Styela clava: one gene and its partner. The protein of the gene in region 1 purifies or fractionates together with the protein of each later gene. This does not show direct contact. Links are inferred from orthologs where the notes say so. Each region holds a gene or a part of one and is shown on either strand. Other genes may lie near its edges.

Region 1 (7,965 bases):
CCAGTAATAAATAAAAAATGAATTGCACAACAGAGGTAATAGAAATCATTCAATATCAAACTTATTATTCTCTCAAACCTGAGATACTTGATGATTTACTGGAAGATCCATTTGCATCAACTTTTGTCAATTTAGCTGGGCGAGCAAATATTCCATGCAGAGGTTGGCACTAAAAAAGTAATTTTTTTTTTGTCAGAACCTTTTCAATTGCTCCCAACCAATAACAAGATGAACAACAGCTCATAATATATACAATCCAGAGTCTACAGAACCTTTTTTTATATATTGCGGTAGTGAAAAAAAAATTTGATGAGAAAATCTTTTTTATTGCTCACAATCAGGCACAAGACAAGTGACAGATAATAAAGTATACAATCCTGAATCCACAATAACTTTTTTTTATTTATTGCAGTTATATCTAGTCAAGAGAATTCAGCTTAACAATGAAGGACTATCATTTCTATGAATGAAAATGTGTTTTTGTGTGATACATTTGACAATAATAACATGACTGCATAGTCAACACACTTCTGACATTAATAAGCACATGAAACAAGCACTTATTCACCTCAAAATATTTGACACCAGCTACAGTTCCATCATTTTTTCCTTCCTCTTTATCCAACACAACACCTGCCCAATCACCAGGAGCAAACTGTGTTGGGCCAAGAAATTTTATGACACCTGATTTGGTACCGCTTACCAAAACTCTTGTACCTGAATTTGAAAGAAAAATTTCAGAGATAAAAAGAATAATTTAACACAAATTTAAGTTATTAACATTTCAGTATAATTCTGCAAAGTCGCAGGACTCCCCCAAACTCTCTATATTTCTTGAATTCATTAAGATTGTATTCCATGACATGAGTATTATTTACATAATTTAATGCATCTTGACTTGACAACTTTTAGGAAAAAAAATGATTCCCCATACTGGAAATAAAATTATATGAAACTGTAAGATGCACACTAAAAAGGATTTTAAATCAACTTTAGTAAAAGCCAAATGGTGAAAAGTAAAATTCCACTGTTTAAAACATCCATAAACTAAAATCCTTGAGAAAATTTACAAAATTATATTATAAGCCAAAGTTGAAAAGTGGAAATTGTAAATGAGCATTGCCTGACTAATACAAACAGTTATTGTATGCATTTAAAAATAATTAGGCTACTATGAACTGCAGTTATTCGCTTTGACATTAGACTCAAGAGTGTGGTGGCCGTTGGCTAGGGATATAAGAATGGTTCTGGAAAAAGCTTTTCACAAAATAGTAAAATAACATCATAATCAATCATCATACCTACTACAAAACTACTTCCTACAGATCCTCCACCCGCTGATGAAGTTGCTTTAGGAGGCCTGATTCCGCCTGATATACACAGAAAAATATAAAATTGAAATTAAAACATTTTTTCATTAAATAGTCAGGTTATAGTTAAAGCCAAAAGCAGCTGCGGTAGACAGTCAATTCCTAGTGGGGCCTATATATGAATAAGGTATTTAAAATGTCAACATCTTGATAATAAATGTAATTTTTAGATATACACAAATTTCGGGGCTCCCGAAGTATGCGAACCAAGATGGCGGACATCGGAACGTAATATGTGTACTAGGTTAGGGGTTAGGCCATAATTTTAGGTATAAATACTACGGGAGGCTCTTGGCTAGTCTTCGAACTGATAATAGGACTAAATTAGGGAAAATTGGAAAAAAATTATCGCCTAACCCTAACCTGTTACCCATGTTACGATCCGATGTCCGCCATCTTGGTTCGCATACTTCGGGAGCACCCAAATTTCTTACTCAAATCAGACCAAGGCACAGTTCCCCGATTTCAATATTTCCCGACATTTGATTGAATACAAGAGTGCTACGCACAAATATATGGACACGTTAGACCAGAGCGAATCAGTCTTTACCGGTACCTTTGACGCTACCGGTACCCTCAAAAAAGTTCTAAATTTCCAGTAGCAAGAATTTTGCAGAATCAAAACGTACAGCCAGTCATGACACTGACTAAAATCCGTGTTCCCATGGATAAAAAATAATACAGCAAAATTTTAGACGAAATATCAAATTTCATAGAATGCACGCAAAATTTTGAAATAAATAAAAGTAATAGCCTTCTAGCGAAGAAATTAATCTTTAACCACTGAAAATTTCAAAGCAATTGGTCCAGTATTCGAAGAGAAAAGCGATTTTTTAAAAACATGTCAAAGAACAAGAACAACAACATAATATTGAAACCATCGTTATGGCCACTAAACGTGTCCAAAAACAAACACTCAATTTGTCGTGAAAGCAAGGGCGTCTGGCACAATGGCAGATGCATTGGGAAGTGCCATGCTTTTCTTGATAATAATTCGAATCAATCGTGACATGCGTCGACCCCCAAATGACTAAAATTCGATTCGTATGACATAGTCAGGTGGGGGTTAGAAACCACCTGTGCAAAAATGGTTATGCCACGCCAACTAGAAGTACCATACTTGACGGCATTTAGTGAACTAGCCCCCTTCTATATTGTTCCACACTTCATTTTACATAAAATGGGTTTCTCTGAAACGGGACAATGTCACCCCATTTGTATAGTGTGCTGTTCAGACAAACCCATTTTACAGATGATCAGACACCCCTCTATTGGGAGACGTCTGGACATTGTTGTCCCTCAATTTCAGTAATAATACAGTCTAATGAAGTTACGCAAAATACTACAAAAAAGCGCAATCTAGTAACGTCATCATTGAATTCCTTGGAATAAAATAATCCGATTTACCGGAAGGAAAAATTTTTTACCATAGCATTCAAGAGTTTATAGCAAAAAACGGCAATTTTGGTCATGTGAGGGCCACGATTAACTTGGGTTATTATTGAGACAAGCATGGTGTGATATGACACATCTGACGTGGTCCCAGACGCCCCTCGTTTGTGAGACACAGAGAGTGTTTGTTTTATAGAGCCAAATGGAGGGAAATTCTTGGAATTTGTTTAGTTTGCTGTGAGGGCGATATGAATGCAGGAATGTTCAAATTTTTTAAATTGGCATAAACTATTCAACCTGTAAATAAATAACAAATAAATCTACAAAAACAACATACTCGGCTTTGGAATTCCTTTCGTTATTTTACTGGGTTGCTTCAATCCAGATGGTTTCTCAGCCATCTCTGTCCTTCAGTTTTTCAATTTCGATTCATGCAGAAGTACGTTCCCTTCAATTAATTGTGAAAAATAACGAAATAATCCACTCAATAAATTTTCATTCGATTATTTAGACAACAGATTTCATTTGTGCACCAGAACTAAAGAACTTGTAAACTAAATGAGGAAAACTTGGTAGTCCAGCAACAGTGACGACAGACTTGTTGTGACATTGCTTTCAAGAATAGTACATAATTAGTGCACCTTATCGCGGATAAATAATTATCATACAGCTATCCGGCAGTTGGCGCTATCGGACAATAAATTTATAAATAATTCGATGAAAATATGCTGAGCATAAAATATAATAAGAATTAAAACAGAGGTATATTAATTTATACTAATCTATTTTGGTCTTGGCTGAATATATATATTATTATATGTTACCCTCCTTAATATACCGTATTTGCTCGTTTAATAGCCCGGGCGCTTATTTTTTTAAACATACTCACTAACCCGGCATTCAAACCGGCCCTTATTCAAGCAGGGGCGCTTGTTATTTTTAAAGTAAAATTACACACAAAAATACCGGTAGATAAGATCGATCGTTACAATAATTAATACCGTATATTGTCATTTCCAGTTCTCAAGTATGATTTAAACGAGAATAATGAAAATTTTGACTTTTTCTACGCACCGCAGGTACAAATCCGCAAAAAAAAAAAAACTTTTACACCGGGCGGGTATTCAAGCACCGGCCCTTATATATTTTTATTTCCTGTTCACACGGGCGGCTATTCAAACGGGCCCTTAATTAATCAAGACCGGGCGTTAAAACGAGCATTCACGGTATAAATACAGTGGGAACTCTACCTAGGAAAGGCTTTGGATACGAAAAATCCAACTTACGAAAATTATCATCCTAAAAATATTGCTTAGAGCCTTATAGACGTAAAATTTTCTACATACAAAAGGCCGAAATCCGAAAATAAAAAAAACGCGTGTAGTGATATTTGCTTGTTTTAGATCAATTTAATGCAGGCATGTCCAATTCGTATTTTATATTCGAATATCGCGACTTCCGAATATTGTTTTTTGTGTTTATAAGAATAACGAATATGGCCCAAATTTTCCAGGGCCACCCGTCAACGTTTTGATATAACATTTTACAAATATTTCATATTTTATCGTAATCTTATCAAACGCAGATTTTTCCATTTCTTGCATTTTAGAGCGTATAAAAAAGCACTTTAATATATTTATTCTCAATCGCAGATTTCATCGTTGTCCCGGCGTCGGGGAAACAAAAAATAAAATCATAACAGCCGACATGAAATAGTTGAATCAGCGCCGACTCAAACAATCTCAATTCTCCATTATTGGCGGATGAGAATCGGGTTCACTCATTTGATTATGACGATGATCACGTAAAAACATTTGTGTTTTTCTGAATCAACGAGTGGTTTCGTCACCACAATAAAAATTAAAGCCCGCGGTAGCTGCCCTGAAGACCGCACAGCAACTAGTTGTCATCTTATTGCCACGTTTGTTTCCGCAGGTACGTACGTATTACAATGTATCTCAATCAGTTTCAGTTGCTAGCGAAATTCACTGATAAGACGATTATACACGTAACAGTTGAAACAAAAGAAAATAAATGGTGAAATAATTAAAAGTTGAAAAGATGAAAAAAATAAAAAGAAACGAAAAACCAAAACAAAAGATTCGAATTTTGAATTTCTTGTGTGTGTGCTCATTTTCGAACATTGTCAACTTTTACTGCCTTTTCTCACCTCGTCCAACCGCCGTCCTCCTACTGGCCACGGCTTCCGCTTAGCCTAGCCCAGTCGGCCAACGCCAAAGGTAAACAAACATACCGTCCGTAGTTTTTATTCGGTATTTCTCTGCCCTCTCTTCTTTTCCTATGTACCTTTTTCATTCATTAAGCAGTAAACTTATTCTGACGTGTATTTGTTACGGCTTTTAATCATTATTATAATTCATACGAATATCATGTCCGAGTCCGAGTACGAGTTTTGTGACAGCTTGGAATGGATTAGGGAATTTACAGATAAAATGCGTCCCCACTTTCTACTTATGGAGAGGCTTCCGAAACAAATTAATTGTGTAGGTAGAGTTTCCACTGTAAAAGAAAGTAAAAAAACAAAGTGGATAACGGTTGGACAAAATTTTGGAATTTACATTTTCAAAAAATCCAAATTCCAAACAAAGTTAAATTAGCGATGCTGCATCAGGTGCAGGAAATTTTGCAACATGTTTCTTCTGAAATTCATGTAAATGAATGCTCTTTGTTCTTAGATTATTTCAGCTTTTTTTTCATCGACACTATCTCATCTTTTTCGGCTATTTTCACAAACAAATTTTGTGAATCACCATTTTCATTTTTGCCCCATCAGATTGGATTTAAATTTTGCAAGCGAGCAAGTAACTGAATTATATCAATTAGCGTCCATCGTGAAGCATTCATTAGTAGATAATTTAGTGTTCATATTCTTCTGTATACATTTTCTAATAGTCTTTTAATGAATATTTGCTCAAAGCAAGATCATGTGCACTTCGTCGGTCACCGATCTGTCAAGAACATAACAGCATGATCTTAGCATTATAACAGCATTTTGGCGGTAAATGACTGGTTAGCGTAAAAGTATGTGTAACAAAGCATTCAAAATTAAACAAGAAAAAACTCATTCAGAGAATAGTTTCTATACCAAAGAATACACAATTTTGGAAACCTCGACTGAAACCGGGATATCACATTATTTGCACAAACATTCAACGATTTTAACGGCAGGAACATGGTCAATACTTGGTCTCGTCAATGGGTGGTGTGACGTTGGTAATTATCTGCCAATTAAGTAAGATTTAGTCTCACTTATTTTCGATGACAATAGTGGCGCGGTGAAAGCGCGTAAGTGTGGTAATAGATCAAGCCAGGGTTCGAATCCCACATGGTTAGAACGAGTGGTATAGTGAGACATTTTGTGTAGAGATTGTGAGTTGGGAGTAGACATGAGTGCGAGAGAAAAGGGCCCGTCAGATCCGAAGGTGGTGATGGTGCGCCATAAGGGGACTGGCCAAAGTGAACTAAAGGCAGAAAAAGAAAAAGGCAGTGGAGAGGAAAATAGAAACAGGGAACAAACAGGGACAAAGCAACGAACCGCAAAAGAGAGTGTGAAAATGGAGGTGAAGAACAAGAGTCCGCAAAAAATACATCCACAAAGCAGATACGTCAACGAGGGCAATTCGGGGCATGTTAAAAAGCTAACCAGCCTCCAAAAATAGCATAAAAATAGGTTAAAAGCGGCAATCATAAATGAAGAAGGAAGAAAATAAACATACGTCGACGAGTACATTTCACTCCGTACAAAAACTTCGAAGACTTCGATAATGACTCCTTACTTTGCGTATGTTATTAAAGTGTTTATTGTATGTGTCTCTTATTTAGATTTTCAGCTTATATTTGTTTCCCCTTTTCAAACTTTTTAAACGCAGAAGATTCCGGGTTTGGTCAGGTGTGTAAACATTATTGTATTGTTTCATCCTAAACATTGTGACGACACTTCTGCCGTTGTATGCATACTATATATAAAAAGAACCGCGTTTTATGAAATCAATTGATAGAGATAACTCAAATCATGGATTGGCTTTTCAAATAGTGAATTTTATTTATTGCGTTATATTTAGTTCAGTTCGTAGAATTATCCCTAATACCTCATTATGTGACGCGGGTACTGACACAATCTTTCAATATATTTTCCTGAGTCGCCACTGTACATGTGTCATTATTTGCATACATATGTACTAATTTAGTCACGATGATTTTGTACGGTTCGCTCTGAAACCCAACCCTTGTGAAATAAGTTCAATATACCCTAACATGATCCTTGTTATTTAATTTACATGACGGCATTATTTCGACAATTTTTTTTTTAAAATACAGTGCAATAGACTGGGTGCCTTTTGTTTATGTTATTATGATAATTGCATGTTCAAAGTTCATATTTACGACAAGTGGACGGAGCCAACAAGCCGTAACATAGTCGTTCAAAATGGTATTTTCTCCCAACCGTCGCCAAAACTCCCTTCTAAGGCGTTCGCTGAGTAAGCCAACAAACATGTTATCCTGAATATTTCGATGCAAATATTCGAAGACAATTCAAAGTACACAACTCTTTTACGTCGTGTGGGCGCATTGACTCCTTTGACGTCATGGATATTTAATATACGATTGCTACCGGAATACTTCCAAATAAGTTACGACTAAATAAATTTTTTCCAGGAACGGTCAACCAATAGCATTGTACAATCTGCATTTCAGGCAAATATATCATGCTATGTATATTTAATCAGAATTGAAATGAATAGACAATATATGCGAACGAATTCCCAGGTGGATAAAAGATAATGAAACTTCAATAATATGGAGACACATGTTCTCGATGTTTGTCAGACAAAAAGAATAGTAATCATATCTGTGCAAGTGTGGAAAAAACGATGGCTTAACTGTAGAATTCCAAACAACACTACGAATATGCGAATATACTGCAACTGCACTGTTGTGTTTACGTATGTCATGAAACAAAGGAGTTCTAAATACGCCAATTACACGCCATTGGGGTAGCCGGTAACGGCTTCATTATCAAAACAGACAGCAAATAGAGGTCTTGAATTAGAAAAAGCAAAATTAATCACCTAAAATGAGACCAGCTCTCACAGAACTAGTTGAAGATATGTTGAAAATAAACCGCTGCCAATTCACATTGTTTTATTAGAAGTTGAACTAACATGTTTTTTTCTCAGATCTT
Region 2 (8,452 bases), on another chromosome or scaffold:
ATGAGCATATTTTGTTATTTATTATTACATAATGTGTCAATTGCTTTACTTTATCTTTCATTTTTTCAGATTCTTAGCTACTGGCGATAGCTATAGAACTATAGCTAACAGCTATCGTCTTGGCATATCAACTGTGAGCAACATTGTCTCAGAAACATGTTCTGCAATATGGGATGCATTGAGAGGGGATTTCCTCAAATGCCCATCAAGTTGTTCCGAATGGACTGAGGTTGCCGATGTTTTTCACAAAAAATGGCAATTTCCAAACTGTTTGGGCGCTATTGATGGAAAGCATGTTGTTGTTAAATGTCCTAGCAATGCTGGATCGTTGTATTACAATTACAAAAAAACGCATAGCATTGTGCTCCTGGCTATTGTTGATGCATGGTAAATATTAAACCTGATTTTGTATCACACTAATTTGTATTCATAGGTAAACAATTTTTGTAACTTACCACTTGTGGTTGCTTTCTATGAATGGCTAAATAAATTAGAAACCAATTATTTCCCAATATTATGTGGATTATACATGGGCATTTATTCCAAACAGTGCCATCAAGAATTCAATGAAATTCATATTTTTCAGTTATAAATTTCTTGCGGTGGACATTGGCGCCTATGGCAGAGCAAGCGATGGGGGAATATTTGCGAACTCATGTTTTGGCCGTCGCTGCAGAATGGAACCTTGAGTCTACCCTCACCAAGGTGGGTTATTTAAGCTAGTAGTCCACCTAGACTTGAAAATGACTGCTGATGTTTTTTTCTATAACGAAACAGGCTATGATTTTTCTTTACACCTAAGTAATAAAGGCTTATTATTTTAACAACTTAGTAATAACCCATAAAAATGAAGCATGTTTATGCAGAAAAACCTCCTACCTAAACCTCATTTTGTATTTCTGGCTAAATAGGGCAAATTTATTTTCAGGCCATTGCCAGTAACGGATGGACCTACTGTTCCGTTCGTATTCATTGGGGATGAAGCCTTTCCCTTGAAAGAAAATCTGATGAGACCATTTCCTGGCAATGGTCTCTCGCAGGAGAAAAGAATCTTTAATTATCGCCTATCGCGGGCAAGAAGAATGGTAGAGAGCACATTTGGCATCTTAGCTAATCAGTGGAGAGTCTATCACAGACCAATACCATTGAAGCCCAGCAATATCGACTCTGTCATAAAGGCAACATGCTGCCTACACAATTTTTTGAGAAGAGATGTTGCTGGGGCTGCACCAGTTGACGATAATATTACAGTGTCCACTCAACTGCTGCATGACATACCCGGGAGTGGTGGCCGTGCAACACAGCGCACAATCTGTTCGCAACACCTTTGCCAACTACTTTGCAGGGGAAGGTGCTGTGCCCTGGCAATGGCACCATTGCTGATCTTTTAACAATTTTATAGATGATTACTGAACTGCAGAGGTATTACAAATCTGATATGCTAGTATATTTGGTACTCCCTAAGGATGTGAACCAAGATGGACACCTGAACCTGGTATGTTTACCAGGTTAGGTTTAGGCCATAATTTATTCCAATTTTCCTTATTTTAGTTCGGGGACTAGACAAGCGACTCCCTTAGTATTTGTACCTGAAAATTTTGCCTAAACCTAACCTGGTAGACATACTAAGTTCGGTGTCTGCCATCTTCGTTCACATACTTCAGGATTACCATATAATCAATAATTGAAAACAATGTGTTCCAAGTAAATTATATTTCCCCAAATTCGATGTTGTACAGAAGCTCGTGAATTTTAATTTTCGCAAGTTGCAAACGTTGTACTGGTAGCCTGCGTAGAGTATCTACGAGGCTCAATGCAAATTTTTCAGCATCATCACTCTCTGTATGTAAATAAAGGTATGATTATTAGATTGGAAATCATTTGTGTGACACAAATATGCCTCATGGAAAGGTTTTAGAATTAAATACCTTTGTTGACAAGACTCATGATAGTTTCGTCAAGATCAGTCGCTTTTGTAAGTGCATCTTTATCAGATGCTGATGTAGTGCAACTGGTGTTCATATTAGGTAAGTTGTCAGCTTCACCACTCATTTGGACATTATTTCCATCTTGGAGCACCACAAGAGTGACATCCTCGTCAATATTTGAAGACGTTCTTTGGAAAAGAGTAAGTTACATGGTCATAGTTTGGGGTTCCGAGATCTGGAGTAGTCAGTCAGTCATTTGCGACCGTTGATACTGTGGGGTAGGGATTAGAAATATTATTGCGTTTGTTACGAAAGCAAATAATACTTACGTTCGAAAGTCGACGTGCTCGTCTAGGAACTTTAGCACCTCCATGCTCTATATCCCCCTGCTGCTGCCCCACTCCTCGTAGCCTCTGATTCCCTTCTTTTCTCTTTCCTATACCTATACTTTGTAGATCTCCATCTGGTCTTACAATCTGTCACTGAAAAGCAATTAACTTTGAAGTTTATTCTGTTATCTTGCATTTACTTAATTTCTTCCTAATTGGTTTTAGATGCAATATAGTAACAGATAACTATTCTAGGCTCATACTCATTTTCTTACCACTTCTTCCCAACGCCTCTGCGACCTCTTCCCACGCCTTTCCCTTTTTAATTGTATCCCTGTAGGCTGCTTCTTTTTCAGCGTAAAGACACTTCCTTTCTCTGACCTCAACTATGAGATGTTCTAAGTCCATACCTGCCATACCGATATCTAATCAATCTGTATAAAAATCATTGTACATTTTTCATTGTTTTGAAAATAATAACTATCATTGATATACAACGGCATTATACAATCGCCAAAACGTCTCAAATTTATATCCAAACAACAGCTGTCTTACCTACTCTGCTCTTAAACACAATGCCTATCAAGTTCCTGATCCAAAATACGGGCACCCGGAATATGACCTTTTGACATGCGTCAACGCAACGCAGTGTGAACAAGTTCAGCGCATTGCGTTGCATCTGCGTCAAAATATAACGCAACGCACTGCGTTGGTGTGAATGGGCCCTAACACGTAAACAAACATGATTGTAAACAAATGTCTAAAACTATATAAACACAAAGAATTCATTTCGGTCGCCACAACATTTAAATTCATTCGGTATATATAGTACTGTATATGTGTGAAAAAGGCCTAGCTTGAGTTTTATGTTTTGATTCCACTGCCTTTTCAGTCTTGTTTTTTAATGAGCCAATCTTGTTCGACTGGGAGCTAGACATCACTCAAAAACTTGTTATGATTAGATCAGATGGCTTTGATTAGGTCACCAGTATTTATAATGCTAATATAAAAATTATGCTGCACCATGTCGCCATTCCATGTAGCTAAAACTGGTTAGTACGTAAGTGAAGTTTCCCATAATATGTAGTATTCTTTACGTGTGCTCACGTTTCCATGGCAAATTTCACTACTGTATATGTTTCCATCAAAGGGTGACTGACCTAAATAAATTGCGGCTAAGCCGGGCTAAGGCATATAACACATTGAACATCCACCAATGTGTTGATGAATTCCCCGTCACCAACTATCAATGTACCGATATCTATCTCATGATTGCTACAATTCAGGAAGGTAAAGGAAGCCGTGTCGGTAACCGTCAAATGGTGGTATAAACCAATTTGCGGGTACTAGAGGAGTTTAGTAGGGACACTCCGAGGCATAAACCATTTCACGGTGACTAGGGGAGTTTAGGATCCCTCATTGACACCGAAAAAAGAATATGTAGCCAATTTATGGTCACATCGCATGGTCCGGGTCGACACCAAAGGCGCCGCACAAATATTGTTTTAGACGTCGGTACCAATCAAAGTGACTAAAACGTAAGCAATTTGGTGCCAATTACTTAATGCGAACTTTAATAAGGTAGTTCCCAAATAAACGCCGGTACGGTACTGTCGTTTCTGAGCGAAAACTTGAGGTGCGAAATATTACGCTATCAATATTAAACCGTGGTAGATTTCAAAAACAACAGTGAAATGAATAGACTAGATACGAGTCACATTGTATCTGGTATTGGTACCGGTATTGATGTATTGCAAAGTTCTGTAGTGGTAGTAAAACTAATTCTCTTTTGGCTGTTTGGTCAGTCAGTTGGTAGTCTGAAATTGCAGAATTGGGATTTAGTCATGAACTGAGAATATTTTTTTTCTTTATTCAGTTATTATATACACAAATTCAAAATGGAGAATTATGGAGAGCGGAAAAACCTTTAAAAAGTTTAAAACATGAGAGATATCATGTGCCCGCCCACCAGCACACACACAAAAATAAATTACAAAAAACACAAACCTAGTAAAAACGAGGCTTGGGCCAGAAATAATCATACAAAAGATACTCGAATGTATTGAACTTCCGGTCCAGCGGTTTGTTATACTTTTTGAACACCTGGCATCAACATGACCTTTTATGCAGTTTGAGGTAATGCTCAGCATTACTAGGTTTACATACAGACATACAGAAGTCTATAAATTTGAGTCTGGTCACTATTACACCAAAGTCAGAAAGTCACCCCAGCCTACATATGCTCAACCTGCGCTCAACAGTTCTGCAGTTTAACCAACTATTTTCCTATATTTTATTCGCTTTAAAACGATATTCCATAAAAACTTTGTTGCTCAAATAATATATAGACCAGGTGATACATCCCACACAAACAGACAAATGCAAAATCAGGTCTGCAGGTACACCGAGTATGGCCTAACAAAAACAAGTGTGGGCTGGCCTTCTACAGTTCTAGCAATGTTAGACGACAAAATTACAGTACTGCAGTAGTAGTCTGAGTTGAATCGATCACTTCAGCACTAGTTAAATCTAACAGCCGTTAGTTGATGTCAAGTTATTTTATTGAGTTGAGTGTAGTCACTTTGATAAAAAAGTAACCCAAGTACAATTAGAGTTATCTGTCAAGTCCATAACTCAAGCTTCATAGCTTCAAGACTCGGCCTCATAGTTTATAATTATCGAGGCGAGTGATTCACTTTTTATTCTCAGTATGGTATACATAGCCGAAGACGTTTGGTTCCACAGAAGTGTTTGTGGCCCACTAAGTTAAAAGAACGCTTAAGACTTTTTGCTGGAGAACCAGTTTGATTCACTCTTTCACTTATCAATATATTTTTCTATTCTTTTCTTTTGTATAATGTAATTCCAATTAGGATTCAATTAAATTTTTTGCCCGTGTTTTTTGTTTACAATGATGTCATTTTTAAGATCGTTTAACCAGCTAACTGCCCACACTCAATAAATTATTCAAAAAGATACATTTCTAATTGAAATCAGAGCTTGAATTCAGTTTTACGAGTAGTTTTACACTCAAATTGCATGAAAATTTTGTTATTTTTGTCAAGGAATTTAACCTAATTGTTAAGTTAATTACCATTTGTTCATGTAGCTTGTGTACCAATGATCTTTTGATAGCTTGTTACAACCTGAACTCAGGAATCAGGACGCAACGATGGATAGCGGGAAAGTTGTTTGGGCTCCGCACCCTGAACATGGATTCATGCTGGGAACCATCACTGATATTGGTCACAGCACAATTACAGTTCAACCATTTTCGAAAAATGAAAAGGTATTTTCATTTTTCCAGATTTTTGCGTTTTATTATTTATTTCATTGAGACATAGTAAAAGTGGATTTTTTAGTATTGGATCCAATAACTTGTCAGAAAACGAAGAATTTAACCTGAATTTTAATGATTGTCATTGTTTTTCAGCCCACGTCTGCCCCTTACAGCCAAGTGTTTCCATCTGAACCAGACAATAATAAAGAGATGGATGACAATTGTGCTCTCATGTACCTCAATGAAGCTACTCTTCTCCACAACCTGAGAGTGAGATACAAAAAGGATAAAATTTATGTAAGTCTTGATATAACTTATTTGGTAGGATTATAAATATTTAAAAGAAAATGATTTTCGTAATGTGATACGGAAACTAATCTAGATTTTTATTAACTTGAGTATAAACAAGGTTGGGGAATCTCGAGGTTGACATGTTTTTATTGGTTGATATTATTTTATTTTTCTTCAAAATTTCAAGTCAATACAAAATTTTTGTCAACCCGGGTCCTGAACCCCATATCCCTGACCATCGGAATAAAACTCTGCTCGGCGGTGTGGTTCATCATGCTAAGCATTGGGAATACGCTCGCCACCGGCGCACTGCACCTCTGATCATCCTGCGTGTGTTTGCAGGTTCGAATCCCTTGTGGGGATAGTTATGTGCAAGAGGATTGCAGGACCCCTCACTGCCTCCACCATCAAGGCCATGTTTCCAAATACCTGGCTAACTAAGACCAAACACGAATTTTAGGAATAGGATTTAGATATTTATCCCGGGGGATACAAAAGCCGATAAGACAGACGGCTTATCCATATGGCGAACCACGGCCTCTCGTCCGGTTACCATTCCAAGTCGGGTATGGGATTAGTTATATTGTTATTTTTCGGAAGCATGGACTTGGAGGTGGTGGAGGAAGCCGTAACCGACCAGCGGTTACATGAACATGAAGGCGAGGAGTCCAGCAATCCTCTCGCACATAACCATCCCTGCATGGCATTCGAACCTGCGAACCCACGCAGAGTAATTAAAGGTGCGGGGGCGAGCATATTCCTAACGCTTGGCCCGTTGAGCCAGACCGCCACGCCAGTTAGTATTCAGTCAGTTCAGTTAGTATTTCCTAATTGTTTGTTGGGGACTCTTGATTTTGCTTTGTCCAAACTTATATAAAATGTATCTTGTTTTGTTCAGACTTATGTAGCTAACATCTTGATTGCTGTGAATCCCTACAAAGAAATTAAGAAGATGTATGATGCTGATTCCATAAAAAATTACAGGGGAAAATCTCTGGGAGTGATGCCACCTCACTGTTATGCAATAGGCAAGTACAGTTATAAAGTCTTTTCATGAATACGTAGGATTTCTGCCACCACTTGTTTATCTTCCAGCATTATTAATGATATTTGGTTTGATTTATTTATGATATTTCAAAATACTTTGGCACGTTTTTCAACGTTTAAAAGCAAAGGGAGTTTAACACTGTTAATTGCGTTTTCATGGTTTTGAAGGTTTAATTTGAAACTGATTATTTTCACCATTCTGAATAAGAAATATTATTTGATTATCTGAATAGTTGCTGTCCGTATACATTGGACAAGCAGCCCCCTTTTTTGGAAGTATCAGAATCTTCACATCCCATTCGATATTGCTAACCCAATTTATTCGTTTTGGATGGTGTAGTATGTACGGGGTTTTATTTGACATGTGAATGTGAGTCCAGGGATGTCCAAAACGAATCGAATGTCCGATTGCATTCAAATTTCATTTTATTCAATATAAAAAAAATTTGAATTTGGGAATTTAGAATCTTTACTGTATATTTGAAAATTAGAGATAATGGACTGCCAAACAAGCAGATTAAAAAGATTCTATATTTATGTTGTTTTAAATATGATCGAATGAAGAAATACCGGTATTGATTTATGTAATTTTCCACGTAAACTCGCCCCCAAATTAGAATGTACTCGGTATTCCATAATCAAGACTATTTTCTCAGAATGTATTCTGAATTGTAAAATTTTCGGTTTTGGCCATCCCTGTATGACACCAATATAGTTAGGATAGTCATAACACAATAACCACAGACCATTACAATTGTATAACTGTTTCATAGAAAAATATAGCTGCTCGTATTTCTAAGATGTGACAGAAGTACAAGCAAATTATGATTTTCCATTATTCAACTTCCCAGAGGAGTTAACACCGCCCTTTTTTGAGCCAACACGTCTTTTATGTCAATTTTATTACTTAGCGTGTCGGTGAATTTTGAATTTGATAGCTAGTTTGATTGTTTAAACCGGGTTATAATAGTGTTTACTCTTGTTGTAACTGGTTATTACTTATTATTTTCACCAATTCATTGTTTGTTTTGCTTCGGTATTATACTGAGCTGGAATGTATTGAAAGGATTATATTGTAATTTTTTCATATTCATCATAGTTGAAGATATAATAAACTACCTGTCTATTGGCTATTGCGTTTCTTTGGTAATATGCAGCTTGATAATTTATTTGCCAAAAATTGATATGAAAAAATACTGGTATATCCGATACCTGGGGTTTACTATGGGTATAATTTATTATCTTTTTTTTGTGGTAATTGACATCTGAATTTTCGGAAGTTATTTGAGGTATTCATCAAATCAAATTTAAATTTGAAATTATCAAAAAAAAATTTAATAAAAAATTACTCATGAGAAATGTTTTCAACTGATGTTATAAAACTTTCACAACACTGCCTAATTTATGAATAATAGCAATCTTCAAAATGCTCCAACACCGCTACTGATCGACTAATTTTTTGTAATATAAATAAAATCAAATATGATGGGTGTGTCCAACTTTTTATAAAAAATCAGGAATGGAAAAATAATTTATTGTAAAGAATTTTAAAAATTGATATCGAAAGATTATTATTT

The links. The genes of interacting proteins can lie anywhere in the genome.
Region 2: the proteins of uncharacterized protein LOC120345352 (region 1) and unconventional myosin-VI-like purify together in Drosophila melanogaster (affinity purification with western blotting; 3 studies listed by BioGRID, with this or other methods). This does not show direct contact. The link is inferred for Styela clava from reciprocal best matches to the Drosophila melanogaster genes CLIP-190 and jar.

The regions. Positions count from the first base shown.
Region 1 is NC_135257.1:14,316,879-14,324,843, forward strand, and holds the start of uncharacterized protein LOC120345352, read right to left. Parts: upstream 3,361-7,965; 5' UTR 3,164-3,360; coding exon 3,100-3,163; intron 1,371-3,099; coding exon 1,302-1,370; intron 718-1,301; coding exon 569-717; intron 170-568; coding exon 79-169; intron 1-78. UniProt on the Drosophila melanogaster protein: Together CLIP-190 and jar may coordinate the interaction between the actin and microtubule cytoskeleton. May link endocytic vesicles to microtubules. May play a role in formation of furrows during cellularization.
Region 2 is NC_135259.1:12,111,684-12,120,135, reverse strand, and holds the start of unconventional myosin-VI-like, read left to right. Parts: upstream 1-5,318; 5' UTR 5,319-5,429; coding exon 5,430-5,546; intron 5,547-5,690; coding exon 5,691-5,834; intron 5,835-6,726; coding exon 6,727-6,856; intron 6,857-8,452. Other genes in the region: uncharacterized protein LOC144411613, read right to left, coding at 1,710-1,840, 1,929-2,116, 2,258-2,301. UniProt on the Drosophila melanogaster protein: Myosin is a protein that binds to actin and has ATPase activity that is activated by actin. Together CLIP-190 and jar may coordinate the interaction between the actin and microtubule cytoskeleton.